Linked DNA regions of Saccharomyces cerevisiae S288C. The gene in region 1 interacts genetically with each later gene. Each region holds a gene or a part of one and is shown on either strand. Other genes may lie near its edges. The genes, in order: MIS1 and AEP3.

What was found.
Region 2: mutations in MIS1 (region 1) and AEP3 are lethal when combined (synthetic lethality), as found in Saccharomyces cerevisiae (one study listed by BioGRID).

What each region holds. Positions count from the first base shown.
Region 1 is NC_001134.8:407,340-423,821, reverse strand, and holds MIS1 (trifunctional formate-tetrahydrofolate ligase/methenyltetrahydrofolate cyclohydrolase/methylenetetrahydrofolate dehydrogenase MIS1), read right to left. Parts: upstream 12,769-16,482; coding exon 9,841-12,768; downstream 1-9,840. Other genes in the region: RFC5 (replication factor C subunit 5), read right to left, coding at 1-57; IST2 (Ist2p), read left to right, coding at 781-3,621; YBR085C-A (uncharacterized protein), read left to right, coding at 4,658-4,915; ADP/ATP carrier protein AAC3, read right to left, coding at 6,916-7,839; 60S ribosomal protein eL19 RPL19A, read left to right, coding at 8,561-8,562, 9,069-9,636; TEC1 (Tec1p), read right to left, coding at 13,193-14,653. UniProt on the Saccharomyces cerevisiae protein: Mitochondrial isozyme of C-1-tetrahydrofolate synthase.
Region 2 is NC_001148.4:544,919-553,477, forward strand, and holds AEP3 (Aep3p), read left to right. Parts: upstream 1-3,567; coding exon 3,568-5,388; downstream 5,389-8,559. Other genes in the region: NCR1 (sphingolipid transporter), read left to right, coding at 1-3,225; lipid-binding protein LSP1, read right to left, coding at 5,714-6,739; ULA1 (Ula1p), read left to right, coding at 7,102-8,490. UniProt on the Saccharomyces cerevisiae protein: Required for respiration. Stabilizes the mitochondrial bicistronic mRNA encoding ATP6 and ATP8, 2 subunits of the proton-translocating ATP synthase.

The DNA.
Region 1 (16,482 bases):
ATTATGTGAAAGAGCATTCAAGGACTTAGGTCTGTATTTATCTACCCACAATGACATGTTTGTGCTGTACTAATCTATAATTTCCATGAACCATCATACAAATGAAAAGTCTATTTTATGTTCCAAGGAATAAAAAATCGCGTTAAAATATTCAAGAGGCGACACCGCAGTGCTTCTAGAAAAGATTCCTCAACACGGTGTACATATGCATAGACTCGATACATAAATTTGACTACAGCATCTTACATAAATTTACAAAACTATTTTATTTCTGACTCCAAGATCCTAAAACAGCACGAAGCATATTATTGCGCATAATTTGTTCTTGTAGGATCTTTTCTTGACATTTTTTTTCACTCTGCGAGAAACTTCTCTTTTTTTTTCCTTCTAGGGACGAAAACAAACAAGGGCACTTTTTTTTATCTTTTTTTTTTCTCTGTTGTTTTCAAAACAAAAAGATTCCACCACTACATCAGTGTGAAAGACTGTAAAAGCTTTCTGATAAATAAGCACTTTCCATATTTTTCAACTGAAAAATAGTTTTCTTTTTGCAGCTATTATTGACTTCATTAAGAAATATCCCTTTTTTCCCCGTTGCAATTATTTCTATAAGGGAAGCTGGAAATAGGGGGCTGGAAAAGATATTTGAACAGTCGCTCCAATAACCGTTCTCACCATCATTAACATTTTTGAAGGTGAATACTGTTTCGGTCGATTTATGGCTAATTTGTCAAATACATTTGAAAAAGATTAAAACAAGCACAAGCGGTTGAGCATACTATGTCGCAGACAATTACATCTCTAGATCCGAATTGTGTTATTGTATTCAATAAAACTTCGAGTGCAAACGAGAAGAGTTTGAATGTCGAATTCAAACGTTTGAATATACATTCTATTATCGAACCTGGCCATGATCTGCAAACAAGCTATGCGTTTATTAGAATCCATCAGGATAATGCGAAACCGCTTTTTTCATTTTTGCAGAATCTGGACTTCATTGAATCCATCATACCATATCATGATACTGAATTGTCCGATGATTTGCATAAACTGATTTCTATCAGCAAATCAAAAATACTGGAGGCTCCAAAACAGTATGAGTTGTACAACCTATCGAATTTGACCAATAATCCCAAACAATCCTTATATTTTGCATTCTTACAGAACTATATAAAATGGTTGATTCCCTTCTCCTTTTTTGGATTATCAATTAGATTTTTATCTAATTTTACGTATGAATTCAATTCCACATACTCGCTGTTCGCCATCCTATGGACATTGTCATTTACAGCCTTTTGGCTTTATAAATATGAACCATTTTGGTCTGATAGACTGAGTAAATACTCATCATTTTCTACCATTGAGTTTCTTCAAGATAAACAGAAAGCCCAAAAAAAAGCTAGTTCGGTTATCATGTTGAAGAAATGTTGTTTTATTCCTGTGGCTTTGTTGTTTGGCGCAATATTACTATCATTCCAGCTATATTGTTTTGCGTTGGAAATTTTCATCAAGCAAATTTATAACGGCCCAATGATTTCCATCTTGTCTTTTTTGCCTACTATACTTATTTGCACGTTTACTCCGGTTTTAACTGTGATTTACAACAAATATTTCGTAGAACCAATGACAAAGTGGGAAAATCATAGCAGTGTTGTGAATGCAAAGAAATCTAAAGAAGCTAAGAACTTTGTTATTATTTTTCTATCCAGTTACGTTCCCCTATTAATTACACTATTTCTTTATCTGCCAATGGGGCATTTGTTGACCGCAGAAATAAGAACTAAGGTTTTCAATGCCTTTTCAATATTGGCCCGTTTACCTACCCATGATTCAGATTTTATTATTGATACAAAGCGCTATGAAGATCAATTTTTCTACTTTATTGTTATCAACCAACTGATTCAATTTAGCATGGAAAACTTTGTTCCAAGCCTTGTTAGCATTGCTCAGCAGAAAATTAATGGACCAAATCCTAACTTTGTCAAAGCTGAGAGTGAAATCGGTAAAGCTCAACTCAGCTCATCAGATATGAAAATTTGGTCAAAGGTTAAGTCGTACCAAACAGACCCCTGGGGAGCAACATTTGATTTGGACGCCAACTTCAAAAAGCTTCTTCTACAATTCGGGTATCTTGTTATGTTTTCTACAATTTGGCCACTAGCTCCATTTATCTGTTTGATAGTCAATTTGATTGTTTACCAAGTCGATTTGAGGAAAGCTGTGCTTTATAGTAAACCTGAGTATTTTCCATTTCCAATCTACGATAAGCCATCCTCTGTGTCTAATACCCAAAAACTGACGGTTGGTCTATGGAACTCTGTCTTAGTTATGTTCTCCATCTTAGGTTGTGTTATCACTGCTACTTTGACCTATATGTACCAGAGCTGTAATATACCAGGTGTCGGCGCTCATACTTCCATCCATACGAATAAAGCTTGGTACCTAGCAAATCCAATAAACCACTCGTGGATAAATATTGTACTATATGCTGTTTTTATTGAGCATGTTAGTGTTGCTATTTTCTTCCTTTTCTCTAGTATTTTGAAATCTTCCCATGATGACGTTGCAAATGGCATTGTGCCAAAGCATGTAGTTAACGTGCAAAACCCACCAAAACAAGAAGTCTTTGAAAAAATTCCCTCCCCTGAATTTAATTCGAATAACGAAAAAGAACTAGTTCAAAGAAAAGGGTCTGCGAATGAGAAGTTGCACCAAGAACTCGGTGAGAAACAGCCTGCCTCTTCTGCCAATGGATATGAGGCACATGCTGCCACTCATGCCAACAATGATCCGTCTTCTTTATCCTCAGCCTCCTCGCCTTCATTATCTTCTTCTTCTTCTAGCAGCAAAACCGGTGTAGTCAAAGCTGTTGATAACGATACAGCCGGATCTGCTGGTAAAAAGCCATTGGCCACAGAAAGTACTGAAAAAAGAAATTCTTTGGTGAAGGTGCCTACCGTTGGCTCATATGGTGTTGCGGGCGCCACTTTACCAGAAACAATTCCAACATCTAAAAATTACTACTTAAGGTTTGATGAGGACGGTAAATCCATTAGGGATGCGAAATCCAGTGCAGAATCTTCCAACGCCACCAATAACAACACCTTAGGCACGGAAAGTAAGCTTTTGCCAGATGGTGACGCCGTTGATGCACTAAGTAGAAAAATTGATCAAATACCCAAAATTGCTGTTACTGGTGGCGAAAATAACGAAAATACCCAGGCCAAAGACGATGCTGCCACTAAGACTCCACTCATTAAAGATGCAAATATTAAGCCTGTTGTCAACGCAGCTGTTAACGATAACCAATCGAAGGTTTCAGTGGCTACTGAACAAACAAAAAAGACTGAAGTAAGCACGAAAAATGGCCCATCAAGATCTATTTCCACGAAGGAAACTAAGGATTCTGCGAGACCATCTAATAACAATACTACTACTACTACTACTACAGATGCTACTCAGCCCCACCATCATCATCACCACCACCGCCATCGTGATGCTGGAGTGAAGAATGTCACGAACAATTCTAAGACAACCGAATCCTCTTCCTCTTCATCGGCGGCAAAGGAAAAACCAAAACATAAAAAGGGGCTATTGCATAAGCTGAAAAAGAAGCTTTAAAAAAAAGCTAGGACGATAACAAATTTTATTTTTATAATATGGTGACATTAAATTAATATGTATTCTTCTTTCTATCAAGTGTATGTTTTATGTATCTCTAATTTTAAAAGAATAATTCATTTTACCTTGTGCAGTGTTTTCATCAAACAGAAATCTCAAGATTTAGTTTCTACGCATGCATTGCCTCTTTCTTCTTCGTTCGAGAGGAGTCACAGCTAGGATTCATTACGTATGTTAGTCACACGATTATATCCAGGGGGGTAGAACATACCGACCATAACTTTTTTGCCGTTTTTCTATTAACCGCGGCTTCTATCAGGAAACCCTTTTTCAGCAAATTAAAAGAGAGCGAGGCTAAAACTCTCTGGTGGCAGTGAAAGATTCTAGGCCGGGTCCAGTTTCTAGGGGTAAAATAGAGCGCAAAAGATCTCGGTGCAGATCTAAGGCGGAAGAAAAGGAAATGTGATCCGATTTTTTATGGAAGCAAATAGAAAAACAGGATCAAACGCTTTTGTGGGCGGGAGATGTTATTATGTAACGGGGCTTTTATTAGCATGTGAAATGCTTTGTAGAAGGGCATCCCTGGAGCCCTTTTGGGCCTTACAGTACATGTTCAAGATTGGCCGACTATTAGCAGAACTACAACTAGGGTTGCAGTGGGAAGTATGAACGATAGGGGTAAGTCTAAATGTGATATAGTTACAGCTAATAATATCTTCTTGCTTAGTTTTGTTGAATATATGTTGCTTCTGAAGTACGTGCAGTTACGTCAGTGCGCGCATACATGTTATCCATATTCCTTTTTCCTCTTTTTGACCCGCACTTCATTTCGCGGTTTTTTTTCTTGTTTTGGTTTGCCCCCATTAATTATCTGATCTGGGCTTTTTCTGGCAATAAGTAGTTATCACCGGATCATCTCATTATTATAAAAGGGACAAAGGACTTGCGGCTCCAGTTTGTATAAGGGAAAGCGGCGCACTCTTCATTCGATAGGGGCTCAAGTTACCAACTACAATAAATTACATTATACTATAACATGTCATCTGCTCTATACAAACAAAGCACAAATTTTACTCATTCTACCGGTTCTTTCTTGCAAAGCGCACCTGTTGAACTGACGACAGTCAGTGGGTACCAGGAGTTTTTGAAGAAGCAAGAGAAAAAGAACTATGAAATTCAAACAGTTTTAAGCGAGGATAAATCACATGGTTATGTGCTAAAGGACGGCGAAGTCATCGCTAATATCATTGGTGAGGCCAAAGATTATCTTTTGGATTTGGCCGGCCAGGCTTGAACGAGTGGCTAAATATTTGTTCGATACGAGTCACTTCATGCACACTTTGATTTGCACTCTTATTGCTGGGCTGTAGTTTTCTTTTCCGTTTTCGCTTATAAATCTAACATGTTCTATTAGGGGAAAGAAAGGCGCAAATTGTAGAGTTTGTTAGGTCTTTTAAGTACTTGATTTCACCAACCGAAAGTGAAAGAAATAAAAAAAGATAAAGCTATTATTATTACCATGACCCTGTCATTGGTTTAAAACGTTTGTCCGTCTGCTTTTGATGTTTTTAAAAAAAATTTAAATAAATATTCTAAATAAGTGAATTACAGGCTGGTAGATAGTTCGTATACGTATAAGTTTTTCATTTAATTAATTTCGTCTCTATACCTGGACGCATTGTAGTTGAGTTTTCTAGAGATTTGGAGGTGTCTTAAAGCATCCGAACTGGGAGGTCTCGCAAATCAGAGGTCTTGGTCAAAAGTGCAAAATTCTTTAAAGGACGAATACTGAAAGTATCGTTTGCTGCTATTCATTAGGCAACCTCATCTTACTTCGGGACCGACAGGGAAAACAGTCACACGTTTTAAAAATGGATTTTTCCCTGTCTAGTATAGTATGATCAGAGCAGGAACGGCGCTCAACTACATGCGCGTTGTGGTACGTCCGCTCTATGAAAGGGCATTTCCTGCGCAGCCGACTACGGACCCTTTCAATAACTTGTTTTACCCTCTAAAATCCCTTAAACATGACTATATATAATTAAAAGGCGATGTATCACATGAATAGAAAAGCTCGCAATCTTTTCTCATTTTTAATTCTTGTCAGTTTTGAATTTCTCAGTTGAAAAATATCCCCAAAAAAGACCTGAAATTTACTCAACCAATTGCGAAAAATTGATCATCTTTTTCATACTATGTCTTTCATTTCCAACGTCCACAAGTACTGTAGAAATGTCTAGCGAAAATTATGAGAAAATAATGGTGTAATCGTTATAAAGTTTGCTAAATTTTTGTCTTGCTTTTGAGAGGGCATATGTTTGCGCAATCCCAAAAAATATTTCAAAAATATTAAATTTCTTTGAATACTTCATTCTCAGTAAGAATTATTCTTTTTTAACAGGAACTGAACTTTTATCCCGTTGAGAGGACGATGAGAATGTTGGAAATAGTCATAAGAAGGTCCTAAGTTTGTATTCTTCTGAAATCTTTCTCCCTTTTTGCTATGAAATTTATTTGAGAATTGTCAAAAAAATAAAAATAAAATGTTAAAATTAAAAACCAAAATGTAATAATACTGACAATAATTGATTCTTATCTAAGTTCTCGAAAACCCTAACAAATATTATAAAATGGATCAGGATGCTTATCTTGAAGCATCACTCTCCAAATAGTGAAGGTTGAGTCTTAGAACCGTTATGTTTACCATTGATCATTGGCAAACTTTGGCAACAAATTTCTCAATGGAATGTAGAACAAAAACGCGGAAGCTCTTATAAGGTCTACACCCCGAAAGGAAAATTATGCTCATCTTGATAAAGCTTTGAGAAATTATCCTGGATAGTTCCGTTGAGCTCAAAACTATGGTTCTGATTTCTAAAAATTCATTGGCGCTTCCGTAATTAACGCTAATAATTGGATCGTTAATTAAATGGTAAATACGAAAAATGGGTATAAAATTGATAGCCAAGGTACTTAAAAGGGGGGGAATGCACTTAACAAAGAACCTTCATCATTGTGGAAAACTTGGAGACAATGTCCAAATTGTGTGAAAATTGCTATCCAACCATCTGAAAGCCGAAAGTTAAAGGTCTCAAGTTCACTTCCCCAAAAAGCAATCGAACAACAGTGGCTGATTTACAAATTTATTCAGTTATACTCTATAATAAAAAATAAAAGAAAGCGATACATAACCTTCCTACTATTTTTTTTCTATAAACAAGTTGGCGGCCAAAATCAAATCGATCGAAAGGTGAAGAGAAGTCGAGAAAATGACTTTTTTCTTCATCCAACTGATCATTTGAATTTTTTACCGAACAATATCATTTGCAACTGGTCATACATGGAAATAACACCAGCTCCAGCAACACTTCTCAAGATATTTGCCCCGCAGCCTTTGAACAATGACCCTACACCTTCAGAAGCTACGATTTTTTTGAGACAATCTATAGCACCGTTGTACTTTACTGCTTGACCTGAAGTCATCATCATTCTTCTTCTCACTGTGTCTAATGGATAAGAACATGTTGAGGCACCTGTAGTGACCACCCATCCCAATAAAAATGAAGCCAAGAATGAACCATCTAATGAACCAGTTAGCACCAGTGGCTTGAGAGAATCAAACATACCGAAATATAGTCCTCTATAAACCACGATACCCACTACTGATGGCATGAATCCTCTGTATAATCCTGCGATACCATCCGATTTCAAGGTCTTTTTATAAACATCAGTCAACCCATTGAATTGGCGAGCGCCACCCTTTTTCGACGATTTTGCATCAGCAGCAAGTCTGGTTCTGGCAAAATCTAAAGAATAAACAAATAATAACGAAAGAGCACCAGCTGCACCACCAGAAGCCAGATTACCTGCAAACCATTTACCATAGCCTTCCTCTTTCTTGAAACCAAACATCAACTTAATCTTATCTTTGAAGGCGAAGTTCAAAGCTTGAGTGGGAAAATAACGAATAACATTGGCAGTATTTCCTCGCCAAAAGGATATTAGTCCCTCTTGCTTTGCAGTTCTCTTGAAACAATCCACGATACCGGAATACTTTTTATCTAAAGTTCCTTGCTTGATCATTTCATCTTGATTTTGGATCAAGATCTTGACTCTTTCGATTGGTGAGGCAGCAGTTTTAGCGATGGCCGCACTCACACCACCCATTAAGAAATTAATGGCAAAGTTTGTTTCTTGTTGCTTAGCGTCGCTACTCATTGTTTCTCAAGGCACAGTATATCACTTCAGGTAAACCGTCTTCAATTGAGTTAATTATACTCACACCACTTCTTTAGTCTTTCTATCTGAAATCATTCAAGCGCACTTTAGATTCACTTCAACGCCTAATGAAAAGGACAATGGAAAACCCTTCTCGAGAAATCTTATATGTAATTTGAAGGCAACCAAACAATGAAAAAGAAAAAAAAAAAAAAAAAGGAAAAACTTTATTTCAAAATTCGTCAACCCACTAAGGTTTATTACAAGTTCGTCTCATTTCCTTTTTTACACCCATGCATTTTGTCATCCAGACATTACGCATTTTCCGTGAAGATTTTTTTTCTTCGTTTCGTTTAATATCCGTTCTCGGTGAGGAGGCCATTGGAAGCATGTCTTCCGCTTAGCACCAGACTGAGAGAGAGTGCGATGCTTAGCATAATTTTGGTTGCCTCTTCGAATTGCTCCTGACAGTGTACTATACGCTGGCCGGGGCCGTGGCAATCCCTGGGTAGCAGCTGGCATGGACTCCTTTCACGAATCCTGCCAGACTAGGGCGGTCTCAGTTGGAAGCCGTCTTCCTTGCAAACTACGATAGGCATCGACCTAACTTCTCTGAGGGGGAAACAAAAATATAGGTTTGGACAGTGATCAACAGAGAATACAAGGTAACTATTGATTTTACGCTTCACATAGAAAGTTGATTAAGAACTCCAAAGCAAAAATGTATGTGATGCAGTGAATAATGAATCTATGAAAGTTTATCAGGAATAAGATAGAATTGTTATAATAACTCCCTCTTGAGGAATGCGAGTTTGATGAGTTATCACCTGAAACACCAGCGTTATTGAAAAGTGATATGGGTAATATATGCCAAGAACGATACTGTGTTCCATTTGCATCATGAATATGCTAGTGAAGCCAGATGTTTCTATAATCGGAGTTTTAGCACTAAAAGGCAAAAGAGGAAACTTGTGGAAGAATTTTTTTTCTGTGCAGTTTACCATTAAGATATTTATAGCGATAAGTGAGACCATTAATATGAGTATTCAATACGAGAACCAGTTACGTGATAAAAGTTACTCGAGCTGCTGCAGTATCCAGCATACATAATAACCATGTCATTTTTCTATAGCGAGTTTTAAAGTGTCTACCACCGCAATTTCTATCTTTCGACGCGAATAGACTTTTTCCTTCTTACAGAACGATAATAACTAACATGACTTTAACAGGGCTAATTTACGTACTCAAAAGAGACTTGCCGCTTCTGTCGTCGGTGTCGGTAAGAGAAAGGTTTGGTTAGATCCAAATGAAACCTCTGAAATTGCTCAAGCCAACTCCAGAAACGCCATTAGAAAATTGGTTAAGAACGGTACCATCGTAAAGAAGGCCGTTACCGTCCACTCTAAATCCAGAACCAGAGCCCATGCTCAATCTAAGAGAGAAGGTCGTCACAGTGGTTACGGTAAGAGAAAGGGTACCAGAGAAGCCCGTTTACCATCCCAAGTTGTCTGGATCAGAAGATTACGTGTCTTGAGAAGATTATTGGCTAAGTACCGTGATGCTGGTAAGATTGACAAGCACTTGTACCATGTTTTGTACAAGGAATCTAAGGGTAACGCTTTCAAACACAAGAGAGCCTTGGTTGAACACATCATCCAAGCTAAGGCTGATGCTCAACGTGAAAAGGCTTTGAACGAAGAAGCTGAAGCTAGAAGATTGAAGAACAGAGCTGCTCGTGACAGAAGAGCTCAAAGAGTTGCTGAAAAGAGAGATGCTTTATTGAAGGAAGACGCTTAAATTTTCTTTAATTAATTTATCTTAATATACATACTCAGTTAATAAACAGGTAGCAAAAACTTCGATAATACGTATGTATGCACATATACCTACATAACTAAAACCCATTTTTCTAATATTCTCATCTCAATTGTTTATATAAAGGGTACTCGTGCAGACGGACATCGAGGTCGAATTGATGCCATTAGGAGTCTGCCAAACTATTTAAAATAGACCTTCAATTTCACCGTCGTCGTCGACTTCTACTGCCATGTAACCAGCATATGTCGATAGACCCGGTATGGTTTGAATTTCTGCAGCCAAAGCGTATAAATAACCTGCACCTATTGAAGCTCTCACATCCCTGATGGGGAACGTAAAACCTCTAGGAACACCCTTTAATGATGGATCATGGGATAATGAATATTGTGTCTTAGCAATACAGATGGGAAGATTACCGAAGCCTTGTTTTTTGTAGGTGTCTATCTTTTTTTGGGCTTCTGGTGATACTTCGATTTTTGCCCCACCATACATTTTTTGGACGATGCTGGTAAGCTTGTCCTCGATGGAGCTATTGACGTCGTACAAAAAGTTAAAGTTCTTTGGTTCTTTCGTTGCATCTACCACAGCATGTGCTAATTCTACTGCACCTTTACCACCTTCCATCCAGTGATTAGAAGTAACGGCATGAGATGCGCCAGCATTCAAGGCTGCTTTCTTGATTACCTCAATCTCTGCCTGTGAGTCTGTTTCAAATCTGTTGATTGCTACAACGACTGGTATTCCAAACGTTTTGATGTTTTCAATCTGCTTAACCAAATTACTAACACCCTTGGCAACAAAATCGATGTTTTCCTCTGTGTATTCTTTTGGTAATGATTGTCCGGGCTTAACATTTGGAGCACCTCCATGAGATTTCAAAGCTCTTACGGTTGCGACTAAGACAACTGCATCTGGCACCAATCCAGAGGAACGACATTTGATATCAAAGAATCTTTCACCACCCATGGCAAAATCGAATCCTGCTTCAGTAACTACATAACCAGGTTCATGGATGTTCTTGTCATTTAACGGGTTCTTTTCTGAACCAACAAGCTTCAATGCCATTAAGTCTGCAATTACTGATGATGCGCCGATGGAGATGTTGGCGAAAGGACCAGCGTGAACCATTACGGGGGTCCCTTCCAAAGTTTGCATTAAGTTAGGCTTTATAGCGTCACGTAATAATGCAGTCAGAGCACCGGTACAGCCAATATCTTCTACTGTTACTGGTTTGTTATCATAATCAGCACCAATAACCATGCGTCCAATACGTTCCTTCATCTCGTGTAAGCTTTTAGATAGAGCTAAAATGGCCATTAATTCAGAGGCAACAGTGATATCGAATCCAGTGGTCCTTGTAAAACCCTTCTCCGTAGCGGCTTCGCCAATGGTAATTTGTCTTAACATCCTGTCATTGATGTCGACAACTCTTCTGATAGTGATAGTATCGGGATTTATGTTCAATCTAGCAAATCTTTTGACTTCTTCAGGTGTTAAAGCATCAGGGTCTTCTTTTTCAATATCCAATCTTTTAAGCCTTCTCTGCATGGATGGGGTAAACTTTCTGATGCCTTTTTTTCTTGGAACTAGTCTCTTGTAAAATGTACTATCATTCTTCTGAGTGGCTTCATGGAACATTCTAGTGTCGATAGCTGCTGCAAGAAGATTGTTCGCAGCGCTGATAGCATGAATATCCCCGGTCAAATGTAAATTGAACTCGTCCATAGGAATAACTTGGGCATAACCACCACCAGCAGCACCACCTTTGACACCCAGGGTTGGGCCAAGAGATGGTTGTCTAACGTTCGCGATGGATGGTTTCCCTAAATGAGCGGATAAAGCCTGCACCAACCCCATAGTCGTAGTGGATTTACCTTCACCCAATGGAGTCGGAGTAATACCTGCAACAAGGACGTACTTACCGTTTTCTCTAGATTCTAATCTTTTAAAAATATTTGGAGAAATTTTTGCCTTATAGTGGCCGTATAATTCTAATTCGTGAGAGTGGATTCCCAACTCCTCGGCAACTTGCTTGATATGCTTAGGACTCTGAGCTCTTGATATATCAATATCTGAAGGCACTGGACTTTCTAAGTGTAATGGAAGAGGTTTGATAACTGGAAGCTTTTCAGATTCCACGAATTGCCTTTTAGCAGCTAATAGTACATTGGAAACAAGCATAGCGACAGTCATTGGACCCACTCCACCAGGAACAGGGGTAATATAAGATGTCTTTTCCTTTACAGAATCAAAATCAACATCACCAACTAATTTTTGCCCACTTTTCTTACTGATATCAGGTACGTAGTTGATACCTACATCAATAACCACGGCGCCTTCTTTAATCCAGTCTGATTTAACGTATTGAGGAATACCGCAAGCTGCGATAACTATATCAGCTTGGGAGACCACTTCTGCAATGTTCCTTGTATGACTATGACAGACAGTAACAGTGGCATTCGCATTTTTCAACAACGAAGCAATTGGATTTCCGACGATACTTGATCTGCCTAACACGACGGCGTTCTTACCATCTAACTTAACATGAGCTTCTTCAAGTAATTTCATGCAACCATAAGGAGTACATGGTATGAAGTATGGTTTCCCTCCTTTTTTAGCCAATTCACCAGCATTATATCTGTGGAACCCATCAACGTCCTTTTTAAAGTCCACAGCGTTTGTAATCGTGGTTTCATCCAAGTGACGCGGTAGAGGTAGTTGAATTAGCAACCCATGGATAGAGTCATCATCATTGATGTCACTAATTTTCTTCAAAAGCTCAACTTCAGTGATTTCTGCTGGTAACTTCTCTATGATACAGTCTACATTGCTGTCCTTTGAAGCTTTCAATTTCATCCTCACGTACGTAGATGAGTCTGGTCTGGCCCCGACTTGAATGATTTTCAAGGTAGGCTTGAAATTAGGATGCTTAAGCTTAATGGCTTGTATCTCATCATTGGCTTTTTCTCGAATAGATTGAGCAAGTTTCCTACCAGAAAGAATATGGTATTGAGAAGCATGCACAGTTGGCGAAACTTTTAAGCGGTAAATGCGCCATCTGGCCTGTTGGAACGCCCTCGAGTTACTCAATAAAGATAGTCTCGACAACATTTCCTTTTAGCCTTAAATATCTGACAAATGAACAGACTGAGAGAATCACAGTAATGAAAGTTGTTTTTTGATGTGTATTGGCTGGTTTACTTCTGCAATTCTTGAGGCATCGAGAACCGCTGCAACATTATTTCGGAGGAAAAAGAAAAAAAATCGCTGTCCGTTGAAGTGAAAAAAATTTCAGCATGGCGCTAGAGAACTTTCTTACTCGTTCTGGCGCGTCAGTAAAAAAGAACTCGGGAAACAATAAGAACCATACATGTGCGATAGAAGAGTGTTGCAGGAGTAGCTTTGGTTTTGTTCGAGAACTGGTAATGTTTGACTAATACATAATTGTACCGTGCTCAATCATATCTGTGACGGTTCTTACTACGAAGATACGTATGCGTATTTATGTACGAGATGTATGTATGTATGTAGACATTTAATAAAAGTTCCCATGCGATTGGTTGGATGGCGTAAAGTTCCTTTGATGTGGAGAATGTTCGTAATGCTGGGGTGATGATAATAACAGCTGCGAAAAATAAGATGTTTGGTACTGGGGCAGACCTTGAATATAATTGGCATTGTAAGCATCTTCAGCAGGTCTTGGATACATGGGCCTTCCTCGTACTTTGGAGAGTGAGTAGGGCATTCCATTATTCTTGTAGTATGGCACTGGTCTGCTTTGGAGTTGTGTGACTGTGGCTGATCTTGGGACTACTTCTTCCTCCGATTCGTACTCTGAACCGGAATTGGAATTGGAACTGAACTCAGGATTACTTTCATGTTCTTGTATGCGGGAAATTCTTTGGTATTTGTTGATTATCTTTCTCTGCTCTATTTCGATTTTTTTTGCACTCTCCAGGATTGCCTTCTTGTTGGAAAAGCTAGCCTTATTGGGGCGATCTCCCTGGTGGAGTTCCGTGGGGGAAAGTTGTTCAAGAGGCCTCTTTGACGGAACGCACTTGTAGCCGTCTATGTTTTCATAAATGTGCTTAGCGTAAATGAGGGGGGTTTTGGCTTGAGATGCAGCATTAGTTTTTATGAAATTTTCAATTTTTTTCTCGTTGGAAGCAGTGATTGGCGTAAGCAGTTTTGAATGTACTGACAATCCACTGCTATTATTACTTACATAGAGGTTTTTAGGGGTTAAACTTCCAGAATCACTGACTGAAGGTAGAGAGTCGATAATTTCTTCAAATATGTCATAAAACAGGTTTGAGTTTTCAGTAGTTTGTTCAGCGCCATGTTCGATAAGGTGTAGAAGCTCCTTCTCCTTTGATGATAGGGTCAGCGAGTCCTTGATTTTGTTTTGTATGGTCTTCTTCCAGACTTGAATATGGGAAGAAATTTGCTTTTTGGTTCTGAACTCGTTGGTTTTGTGCTTGATATATAATGAAATCAGCTCGTTTCTTCCAAAATTGGCATTTCTTATTTTTATTTTTGTGGTCCCATTTTTCATTATCAGTCTAAGTGCCTCAAGGAATGCCTCTTCTACCTTTTCTGACCACTTATCACAACCGATAGTCCAAGATTCCGTTGTTGACGACGTTTCGCTACTTTGTCCGGGAAAGTAGTTGCTCACAGATATATTTGGTACTTCATTCTTCCTCTGCTTGTCAGTGAACGTAGCCTTTGCTGATGGAGATTTCAAATCGTCCGATTTAGCACCCAGTCCAGTATTTACCAGTTCGAATTGAGGATGCGTGTCTATGAGATTGATGTTATCCTCCGCTTCATTTTTCACACAAGCGGCGGTTGAAACTACGGCTTCTGGAAACATATCATCCAAGGCCGACTGTGAATACGAATCTTTTTGTATATATACGTCAAAAATTCTACCAGTATATGATTCTATATTTCTAGAATTATCCTTGCCAAAGTCGTCTTCTTTAAGACTCATGGTTAAACAGGTATCAGAATTGTTGAAATAGGTGGATTATTCTTCTTGTCGATATGGGAGGAATCTGGCACCAGTCGAAGAATCTCCTGTTTCATAAACATTTATAAAAGTAAGAAAAGGGTTGTCATATGTAAAAAATTAAGCAAGCCTTTTGTTTCAAACTTAATATATACCTCTGCGGGGGAATTACTTTTTTGGTAATAAGCTATTTTCTCCAGCTATGGGCCGTACCATCGAGAGAAACTCCAGCACCATGGATTGCTGATGGTAGCTACAGGTGCTTTTTAACTGTGCATGAGCCAAGAGCCTTGTGAGGGACCATTCGTGGAGTCCAGCTCAGCTTGTTTCCGGAGAGTTTCCCAGAATAATAAGCAAACGCAATCTGAAACACGCACATTCCCGAATTCAATGGGAAATTCTTTGAGTCGTACGCGGAATGCGAGCGGTGCCGGGGAATTCCAATGAGGCTGATTAAACCGGACTACGGGCAAAATGGCTCATCTGAAACACCTTGCGCCGATAAAAGACCCTCACCTGTGTCACTAAATGGAAAGAGTTGGCGTAAAATCTTCCTGTAAAAGGATCTCACCATTTTGGCCTAAAACATCATCATATCTGTTTTCGTGGAAAAAAAAGGCCGCTCATACATGAATACAGTGGGCACATGCCACCTGTTATTCCATAGCTGGCTTTACTGTAATATTAGAATAGTTCCTATCTGTGTGAAAAGTTTCTTTCGTTACCTTTTTTTCAGAGTCAAAAGCTGGAGGAGGCTATTGTACTTGCCTGTAGTTCCAGGTAACAATCGCTTAAGCAGTGAGCCCGCTTAATGAGAGCAAGTTATATATGTTTTGCTAAAACCTGCCAGATTCTCAGCCTAGAAGATATAAATCTAACGTGGATTTGTTACAGGCTGTCATACCTTATGTACTTACGCATCGTATCTTGTATGTGTTCACTTTTTTCTGGTAACTACACCACTTGGCTTAACCTTGCCAGGAACCGAGTAGGCCACACATGTTTTGAATATTGTAAGTGTGTACAATAAGCTGCAGTACTCTTTTGATTCTGTAGGAAACCAGCGAAGAACGTACTCTTGCCTGAAGAGAAGTTTTTTTTATTTATTTATATTTTGTTCTGGAAGCTCTTTACAGAATGGAGTAGGAAAATATATAGAGAGGAAAAGCGAAATCGTTACGAGAATAAATAATCAAGAAAAGAAACTTGAACTTGGCTTTTCCAAAACAACAGAAGTAGCGTTAATTTACTTTCACCGTAAAATTCAACTCTTTAAATATAGTCCACTTAGTAAATTCTTGCCAATTTGCATGATAAATTCGAACCCATTCCTCAAAATAAAGGGTCCTCATACATTCCATGGAAAGAAAGTTTTCTTGAACATTAAGAATAAAAAGGCAAAAAAGAAAAAAAAAAGCACAGCTACTGTTTTAGTCAACATTCCTTTCTCACTGGAATGCACAAGGTGTCATTCCTGAACAAGGGTAACTGCACTATTCATATGTCCACCTTATGACTTCATAAAAAGTTTGACAATAAGTAGTCTTACGTGATAAGAAATGATGTAACATAAGGCTAATGTCCTTATTCCAAAGTATCTCATTTATACAATAAACAAAACTGATCTTACCGCCTATCCTCCTCTCCGCACTAATCAATTGTTATAGTTTTTCTCGAAGCGAGGATCAAATGGCCGAGCAACAGGAAAAGGAGTACCGGCGGTCACATGGTCTGCGAGATTTTTCCCGCTGCGGAAAAACCTGGCAACAGCTCACCTTGAAAGGCCTTGGCCTGTATTTTTCTTTTTTCTT
Region 2 (8,559 bases), on another chromosome or scaffold:
TCATGCCCAGCATGCCTCAAGAATTTTAATAACCTGTTCTGTCACTTCACTTGCGCTGCTGACCAAGGAAGGTTTGTCAATATTACCAAGGTAGAAAAGTCAAAAGAAGATAAAGATATTGTTGCGGAATTAGACGTTTTCATGAATTCGTCTTGGGCATCTGAATTTTATGACTCATGTAAGAATATTAAATTTTCTGCTACCAACGGTTATGCGATGGACCTAATCGGAGGTGGTGCTAAAAATTACAGTCAATTCTTGAAGTTTTTGGGGGATGCTAAACCTATGCTTGGTGGATCCCCCTTTCAGATTAATTACAAGTATGATTTAGCAAATGAAGAAAAAGAATGGCAGGAATTTAATGATGAGGTTTATGCTTGCGATGATGCTCAATATAAATGTGCGTGTTCTGATTGTCAAGAGTCTTGCCCCCATTTAAAACCTTTAAAAGATGGCGTGTGTAAAGTTGGCCCTCTGCCATGTTTTTCCCTTTCTGTTCTGATCTTTTACACAATCTGTGCACTTTTTGCATTTATGTGGTATTATCTCTGTAAAAGAAAAAAAAACGGGGCAATGATTGTGGACGACGATATTGTTCCAGAATCAGGTTCCTTAGATGAATCAGAGACGAATGTATTCGAAAGTTTCAATAATGAAACTAACTTTTTTAATGGTAAACTCGCTAACCTATTTACGAAAGTGGGACAATTTTCCGTTGAAAACCCCTACAAGATATTAATAACCACTGTTTTTAGTATCTTTGTATTCAGTTTCATCATATTTCAGTACGCTACTCTTGAAACAGATCCAATTAATTTGTGGGTGAGTAAAAATTCTGAAAAATTCAAAGAAAAAGAGTACTTCGATGATAATTTTGGGCCATTTTACAGGACAGAGCAAATATTTGTTGTGAATGAGACAGGCCCTGTGTTATCATATGAGACACTTCACTGGTGGTTTGACGTTGAAAATTTTATTACGGAAGAGCTACAATCGTCAGAAAATATTGGATACCAAGATCTCTGCTTCAGACCAACAGAAGATTCTACATGCGTAATAGAGTCTTTTACTCAGTATTTTCAGGGGGCCTTACCAAACAAGGATAGCTGGAAAAGGGAACTGCAGGAATGTGGGAAATTTCCTGTAAACTGTCTACCTACTTTCCAGCAACCTCTAAAAACTAATCTTCTTTTCAGTGACGATGATATTCTCAATGCGCATGCGTTTGTTGTAACACTTCTATTGACCAACCACACTCAATCAGCTAATCGCTGGGAAGAAAGATTGGAAGAGTATTTATTGGATTTAAAGGTCCCCGAGGGCCTGAGGATCAGTTTTAATACCGAAATATCCTTGGAAAAAGAGCTTAATAATAATAATGATATCTCGACCGTTGCAATATCATACCTGATGATGTTTTTATATGCTACATGGGCCTTGAGGAGAAAGGATGGGAAAACTAGGTTGTTACTTGGAATATCTGGTTTACTCATAGTTTTGGCTTCTATTGTTTGTGCAGCCGGATTTTTAACTCTTTTTGGTTTGAAGTCGACATTGATCATAGCAGAAGTAATACCGTTTCTAATTTTAGCAATAGGAATAGATAATATTTTCTTGATTACACATGAGTATGATAGAAATTGCGAGCAAAAACCGGAGTATTCAATTGATCAAAAAATAATAAGCGCTATCGGGAGAATGTCTCCTTCCATTTTAATGTCATTGCTATGTCAAACCGGATGCTTCTTGATAGCTGCATTTGTTACAATGCCAGCTGTCCATAATTTTGCTATATATTCCACAGTTTCTGTTATATTCAACGGAGTATTACAGCTAACAGCGTATGTGTCCATTTTGTCTCTCTACGAAAAGAGATCCAATTATAAACAAATTACCGGAAATGAAGAAACTAAGGAATCATTTTTGAAAACGTTTTATTTTAAGATGTTAACGCAAAAGAGGCTCATAATCATTATCTTCTCGGCTTGGTTTTTCACATCTCTGGTTTTCTTACCAGAAATTCAATTTGGGCTAGATCAAACATTGGCTGTTCCACAGGATTCCTACCTGGTTGACTATTTTAAGGATGTTTATAGCTTCCTAAACGTAGGACCACCGGTTTACATGGTCGTGAAGAATTTAGATTTGACTAAAAGACAAAACCAACAGAAAATATGTGGTAAATTTACAACTTGCGAAAGAGACTCATTAGCTAATGTACTGGAGCAAGAAAGACACAGGTCAACAATTACGGAGCCATTGGCTAATTGGCTGGACGATTATTTCATGTTTTTAAATCCTCAAAACGACCAGTGTTGTAGATTAAAGAAGGGAACAGATGAGGTTTGTCCTCCCTCTTTTCCAAGTAGACGTTGTGAAACTTGTTTCCAGCAGGGTTCTTGGAATTACAACATGTCAGGGTTTCCTGAGGGCAAGGACTTCATGGAATACCTAAGCATATGGATTAATGCGCCTAGTGACCCCTGCCCTCTAGGTGGTCGTGCGCCATATTCGACTGCGTTAGTTTATAATGAAACGAGTGTGTCTGCGTCAGTTTTCAGAACAGCTCATCATCCTTTGAGATCCCAAAAGGACTTTATCCAGGCGTATAGTGATGGAGTTAGGATATCAAGTTCTTTCCCCGAACTAGATATGTTTGCATACTCGCCGTTTTACATTTTTTTTGTTCAATATCAAACTTTGGGACCATTGACGTTGAAGCTAATAGGGAGTGCCATTATCCTAATTTTTTTCATTTCATCTGTTTTCTTGCAGAATATACGCAGCTCATTCTTACTGGCTTTGGTCGTTACCATGATTATCGTAGATATTGGTGCTTTGATGGCCCTACTAGGTATCTCACTCAACGCTGTCAGTTTAGTCAATTTAATTATTTGTGTCGGTTTGGGTGTCGAGTTTTGTGTTCATATTGTTAGATCATTTACAGTGGTCCCCAGTGAAACCAAGAAAGACGCAAACTCAAGAGTTCTCTATTCCTTGAATACCATAGGTGAGTCCGTCATCAAAGGTATAACTCTAACCAAATTCATTGGAGTTTGTGTACTTGCATTCGCCCAATCGAAAATATTTGATGTATTTTACTTTAGAATGTGGTTTACACTAATCATTGTAGCAGCATTGCATGCTCTCCTATTTTTACCTGCTTTACTTTCATTGTTTGGTGGTGAAAGCTATAGGGACGATTCCATCGAAGCAGAAGATTAGCCATAGCAGATTATACTATATTTTACGTAGTGAAAAAATAGGTAAAAATTCGTTAATTATTCTGATGCCACACCAGAAAATCTGTGGGAAAATTTTTCGAGTCAGAAATGATAACACTAACACAGGCTTCGTTGTTATCGTGCATTGAAGTTAGATACTTCTACTATATTTAATCTTTAATAGTGTCATAAAAGTATTATTGGTTTCGGGCGAAAATCGTCATTTTCGCACACAGAACTTCAAAAGAGGAAAGGCCAAAAGAACTAAAACCGATTACTTCGGGGTGATTTTGTTCTGGCATCTTCTGGCACTCTTGGGCATCCTTAGCCATTTAGTATATTTATGAATACATTAAGGTGTTTGACACAAGCACTATCCAAAAGTGGGAGAGAAGCTCCAAAACTATATCAGAAAGTAATATTTCCAGGCCTGTTCAGAGAGGGTATACCAATTGCAAATGTCAAGAAAGTTGATGAAAAAATAATAGATAGCCCAACATCAACGTCAGTTAATGGAGAGGCAAAAAAAATAGTACGGCATGGTGTGAAGTATGAAAGGGAGCAAGTTAAGGAATACCTTTCAAGCCTGCCGACTTTAACGCTTTCTAGGAAACAAATTAGGGATGACTATGATGAGGAACGTGCAAAACGAATGTATATGTTCTCTAAACAAACGAATTCCTCGAATAAATTCCAGAAACTTCTTACAGCAAAGTCTCAAGAGTTTACTAGAGAACTATTGACGCTACTGATAGATTGCACATCGAATGAGAAGAATTCAGGGCCAGAACGCTTCACTCGTAAGTTTCTTAAGTTTAGTAATGACGAGATCCCTCCTCTCCCTGACTTTTCAAAGAACCCTCAATTGTTTGAAAATTATATTGGAATACTAAGTCATACAAAGTTCAATTTTCGTTCATCTTCCAAACTAAATGGTATTGTGCGTAAGATGCTGCGGCACCTACTTCATCCAACCAATAAGACGACTCTGCCGTTGCGTTCTGCTCAAGTTTATAATGACTCAATATACTTTTTCAGTGAGCACTTCGACTTTGCGTCTTGTAGAGAAATATTTGCACAAATGAAGGCTGAGGGGACTAAACCAAATACAATCACTTTTAATCTTTTACTGCGTAATGTAGTGAAAAACTCGCATATTAGAAAAACGAAGCACCCTGACGATGAGGTCCTTTTTTATCTTAGAAGTATGCGTAATCATGGAGTTTTTGCAGATGTAATAACTTGGACGACATGTTATAACTTTCTTCGTGATGAAGTTTCGAGACAATTGTACATTGTTCAAATGGGTGAACATTTAGGAAATTTTAACGTAAATTTTGTTTATACTGTGCTAAGGAACGGAGATTATAGAGCAGAGGACTGTTTAAAAGTTTTAGCAGCAAATTCACTACCGATTTCCCGTAAGACGTTCTATCTGTGCATAGAACGACTACTAAACGAGGAACAACTTGAAACCGCATCTAAATTACTTGACTATGGTTTTCAGCACTTGAAAAGTAATTTTAAGTTGGACTCGGAGGCAATGAATCATTTCATGCGGGTATTTGCTAATAAGGGAAGAAGTGATTTGGCATTCCTTTGCTATAATACTTGTCGTAAGATTTACAAAATTAAACCTGATTCTCAGACGTTCGAAATGTTATTTAAAGCGTTAGTTAGGAATGGCAACACCAAGAATTTTGGGGCAGTCCTACAGTATATCAAAGACTTAAAGGTTAGTGAAGGATTTGGATTGCGGACAAGTTATTGGAGAACCAAAGCAGACTCAATTTTCAAATTTGGTAGTCCTAATACGCTATCAGAAAAGTCAATTGAAAAAGCAAGAAAATTGTTGGGCAACCTGATTGCTTCCGAGGGTGAGTTCTCTTGGAAAATTTGGAAAGAAAGTGATTCTTCACAAAAAAAAATACTACGTTTTTTGGGTTGTATCCCCACTACTTTACGCTGCACCAATACAGCACAAGATCATCAGAAGCCCACAAACCTACCCTCAAACATTTCCCAGAAAAAAAGAGAATATCGAAATCGGGTTAAAGCAATAGCCACAAAGGCTGCTTTGGAAAAAAGAATGGCGTATATCAAAGACAATGATGTAGCTTTCAAAAAAGAGCTAGTAAAGAGGAGAATAGTTGGGGAGGTTTGATGAGGGAGGCATAAGTGCCCTGGCATTTGGACAGGAATTTTATTAATATAGGCATTTTTATTGTACATATATACTTCATAGATCATATTCATTTAATTAGACTTCGAAAAGTTGAATCTCTTACGGCAAAGGAGAACAAGAGAAAGGTTAATTATTAGGTCTTATAAAATTTGTTCAATTAATTATAAAGGTGATTACAATACCGGAATATTGGCCGAACAATACTTGAACCAAATTCAGATGAAATTAATAATAGGTAGACACGAGCTGGTGAAAAACAAGCACAATATAGAAAGGTTCGAATATATTAATTATTAGAAAAAACTCAGATGTTTTCAGAACCGGAGGTATGACCGTTTTGACTAACATGATGATCGGCCTCATGGGCTTCATCATCTACAGGAACTTCAGTAGTCCATTCAACTTCCTCTTCTTCGACTACTTGACCGGGGATATCTCCATTTTGGATTTCAGGTTCTTCTTCTTCTTCACCATCTTCGTCTTCATAGACGTCATCAACGGTCTGATGAAATGAAAGAGTTGGTTTGACTGCAGCCATGTCTAGGGTCCAAGATTCCAAGGCCGATTCAGCATCCATAATAATTTGGCGAGAAGCTTCATAGCCATCGTACGCTGGTCTAGCTTCACCTGGAGTGACAGGAGAGTCATCTAGCAGCTCCAATAAGGCCTTTCCGTATCCAGCAATCAGGGCAAATTTTTCAGAAAGCTCTCTTAATGAATCAAACATATAACTATAAGCAGCCTTTAATTTTTCACGTGTGATATTCGATAATTGAGCCTCCGCAACCAAAGATTCAGCTTCGGCACGAACTAGTTCTTGCTCTAAAACTGGGATTTTTGTTGATTGAGGATCTTTATATTTCAAATGGGCAATTTCATCTGTGATCTTTTCCTTACGATCTCTCGAAGGTTGAACAGAGGCTTCAATGTTCCTAATTGATTTTAATGTGACTCTGTATTGATCATATTTATCGATGAACTGGTCCTGTAGTTCACCCAACTCATATATTAAGACGCCTAATTTGTCGGTTACGTCGGAAACATCATCATCATTGTCAGCACCCCATAGAGACAGTTGCTTTGCAGCTTCACGGCGTTCGCTGGCAACAACTTCCATAGCTCTAAGGACACCTTTTTCAGTCTTAACCAATTGAGATAATTTACGAGCCAACTCTGGCCCAAAGTTACCAGCCGCATTTTTTCTAAAACTAGACGCAATAGAGGCCTTTCCGAAGAACTTGGACTTCGTTGAGGATGGTGGTGGTGGAGGAGCTTGTAGCTCAGCAGCCGTTGGAGCTCTTTGATTTCTTAAAGAGTAAGTTCTGTGCATTCTTGTGTTGGAGCTTTGAAAGTTTAATCTTTCGTATACCAAATAAAGAGAATTTACGGTCAAGCATTGGAATTGAGGAAAGAGGTTAACTGATTTTTTTCTTTTCTATCTCACCTGTTTATATATTGCGATTTAGCCGTTGCATCTTCCCGGTTTTTCCGTCTTTTTTTTAAAGGGCCCCTTTTTATCCCCTCTAACGCCTTTCGCAATCCCCTTTTCACTCGGCTGCAACGAGCGGGGTTGTAAGAGCTAAGCTTTCTAGCCTAGCAATGAAATAGAAGGACAAGTCAGACGATTGACGTCAAAAAAATGAGTCGCCTCTCTTTCTTTCTTAGGCCAACTAGACAGCCGTAGATGAAAATATGGAAAGATATGATAGACAGCTGAGACTATGGGGAGCATTGGGCCAAGATAGTTTGAACCGGTCCCGTGTGTGCGTGGTAGGACCTGCTACACCTTTGCTGCAGGAAGTTTTTAAGAATCTGGTGCTTGCCGGAATATCATCTCTTACTTGGCTCAAAGTAGAGTGTGCAGTTCAATCGGGTTCTCTGTTTTTAGCAGAGCTTAAAAAAGATCTTGAGCCATTGGCTTCTAAACAGCTAGAATATGAGGAAAATGACCTTAGAAAGACGTTACAGCAACCTCAGTATGATTGGACCCGCTTCTCGGTGGTGATCTTGACTTGTATTGGTGAGCAAACTGCGATGCTCGATTTAAATGAGATTAGGCGGCAGAGAGGAACAAAGTTTCCGCCTGTTCTAAACACTTTCGTCTCTGGATTTTATGGATATATATATCTGGTACTCTCAGAAACACATTTTGTTTTGCAAGCACACCCAGATAGTAAGAAGTATGATTTACGGTTACAGAACCCTTGGCCTGAACTAATAAATTACGTAGATACATTTGACCTAAGTAAAATGGATACAGCCACGTTTTCTGGTATTCCATATACTGTTTTGCTCATGAAGTGTATTGCAAAACTTGAAAGGGATGGTAATAATGGGAGGATAACGATTGATCAGATGAAGAAAGTTTTAGACCAAATTTGCCTTCCTTTAGGGAATGATGTTATCTACGAACCCAATTATGTGGAAGCTAAACGCTATGCTTACTTGGCCTGCTCTCAAAATGATTGTTGTAAAGAACTGGAAGATCTGCTCCGAAATTTGGAAATATCAGATTATGGGAACGATTGGCATGATACTTATAACTACGAGATTCTCACACTATTATTGACTTTGAAAAATATTGCTAAAGAGAATGGGGAGCTCAGCTTTCAACCTTTAACGGGCACTCTCCCAGATATGGAGTCAACAACGGAAAATTATATCAGACTCAAGAAACTGTATGAAGTAAAAGCAAAGCTTGACAAGTCTCGTGTGGAGGAAAGTTTGGCTCGCAGTAAAAAAATAGTTTCACAGGATGTCTTGGAGACATTTTGTTCTCATTACGGGGAGGTCAGGAAAATATTGCCGCCAAAAAGTGACTTGTTAGGTATTTTTAGCACCTCGAATGCCCTTTTAGATGCATTAGTTATGGTCCAATTCTGGGAGCAACCGGCAGTAACTGCAGAGGATAAAGATGAGTTTATTGGTTTACGAGTCGACGATAACTATTCCGTAATGGCCTTTTTTGGAGGTGCAGTGGTTCAAGAGGCTATAAAGCTTATCACACACCATTACGTTCCTATTGATAACCTATTTTTATATAATGGCATTAATAATTCATCCGCAACATATAAAATATAAAATTTTTTCGTCAGCTCTCCGAGTTCATAGAATGCTTATTTTATTGTACTTCCCTGGTTTGCGTTGATG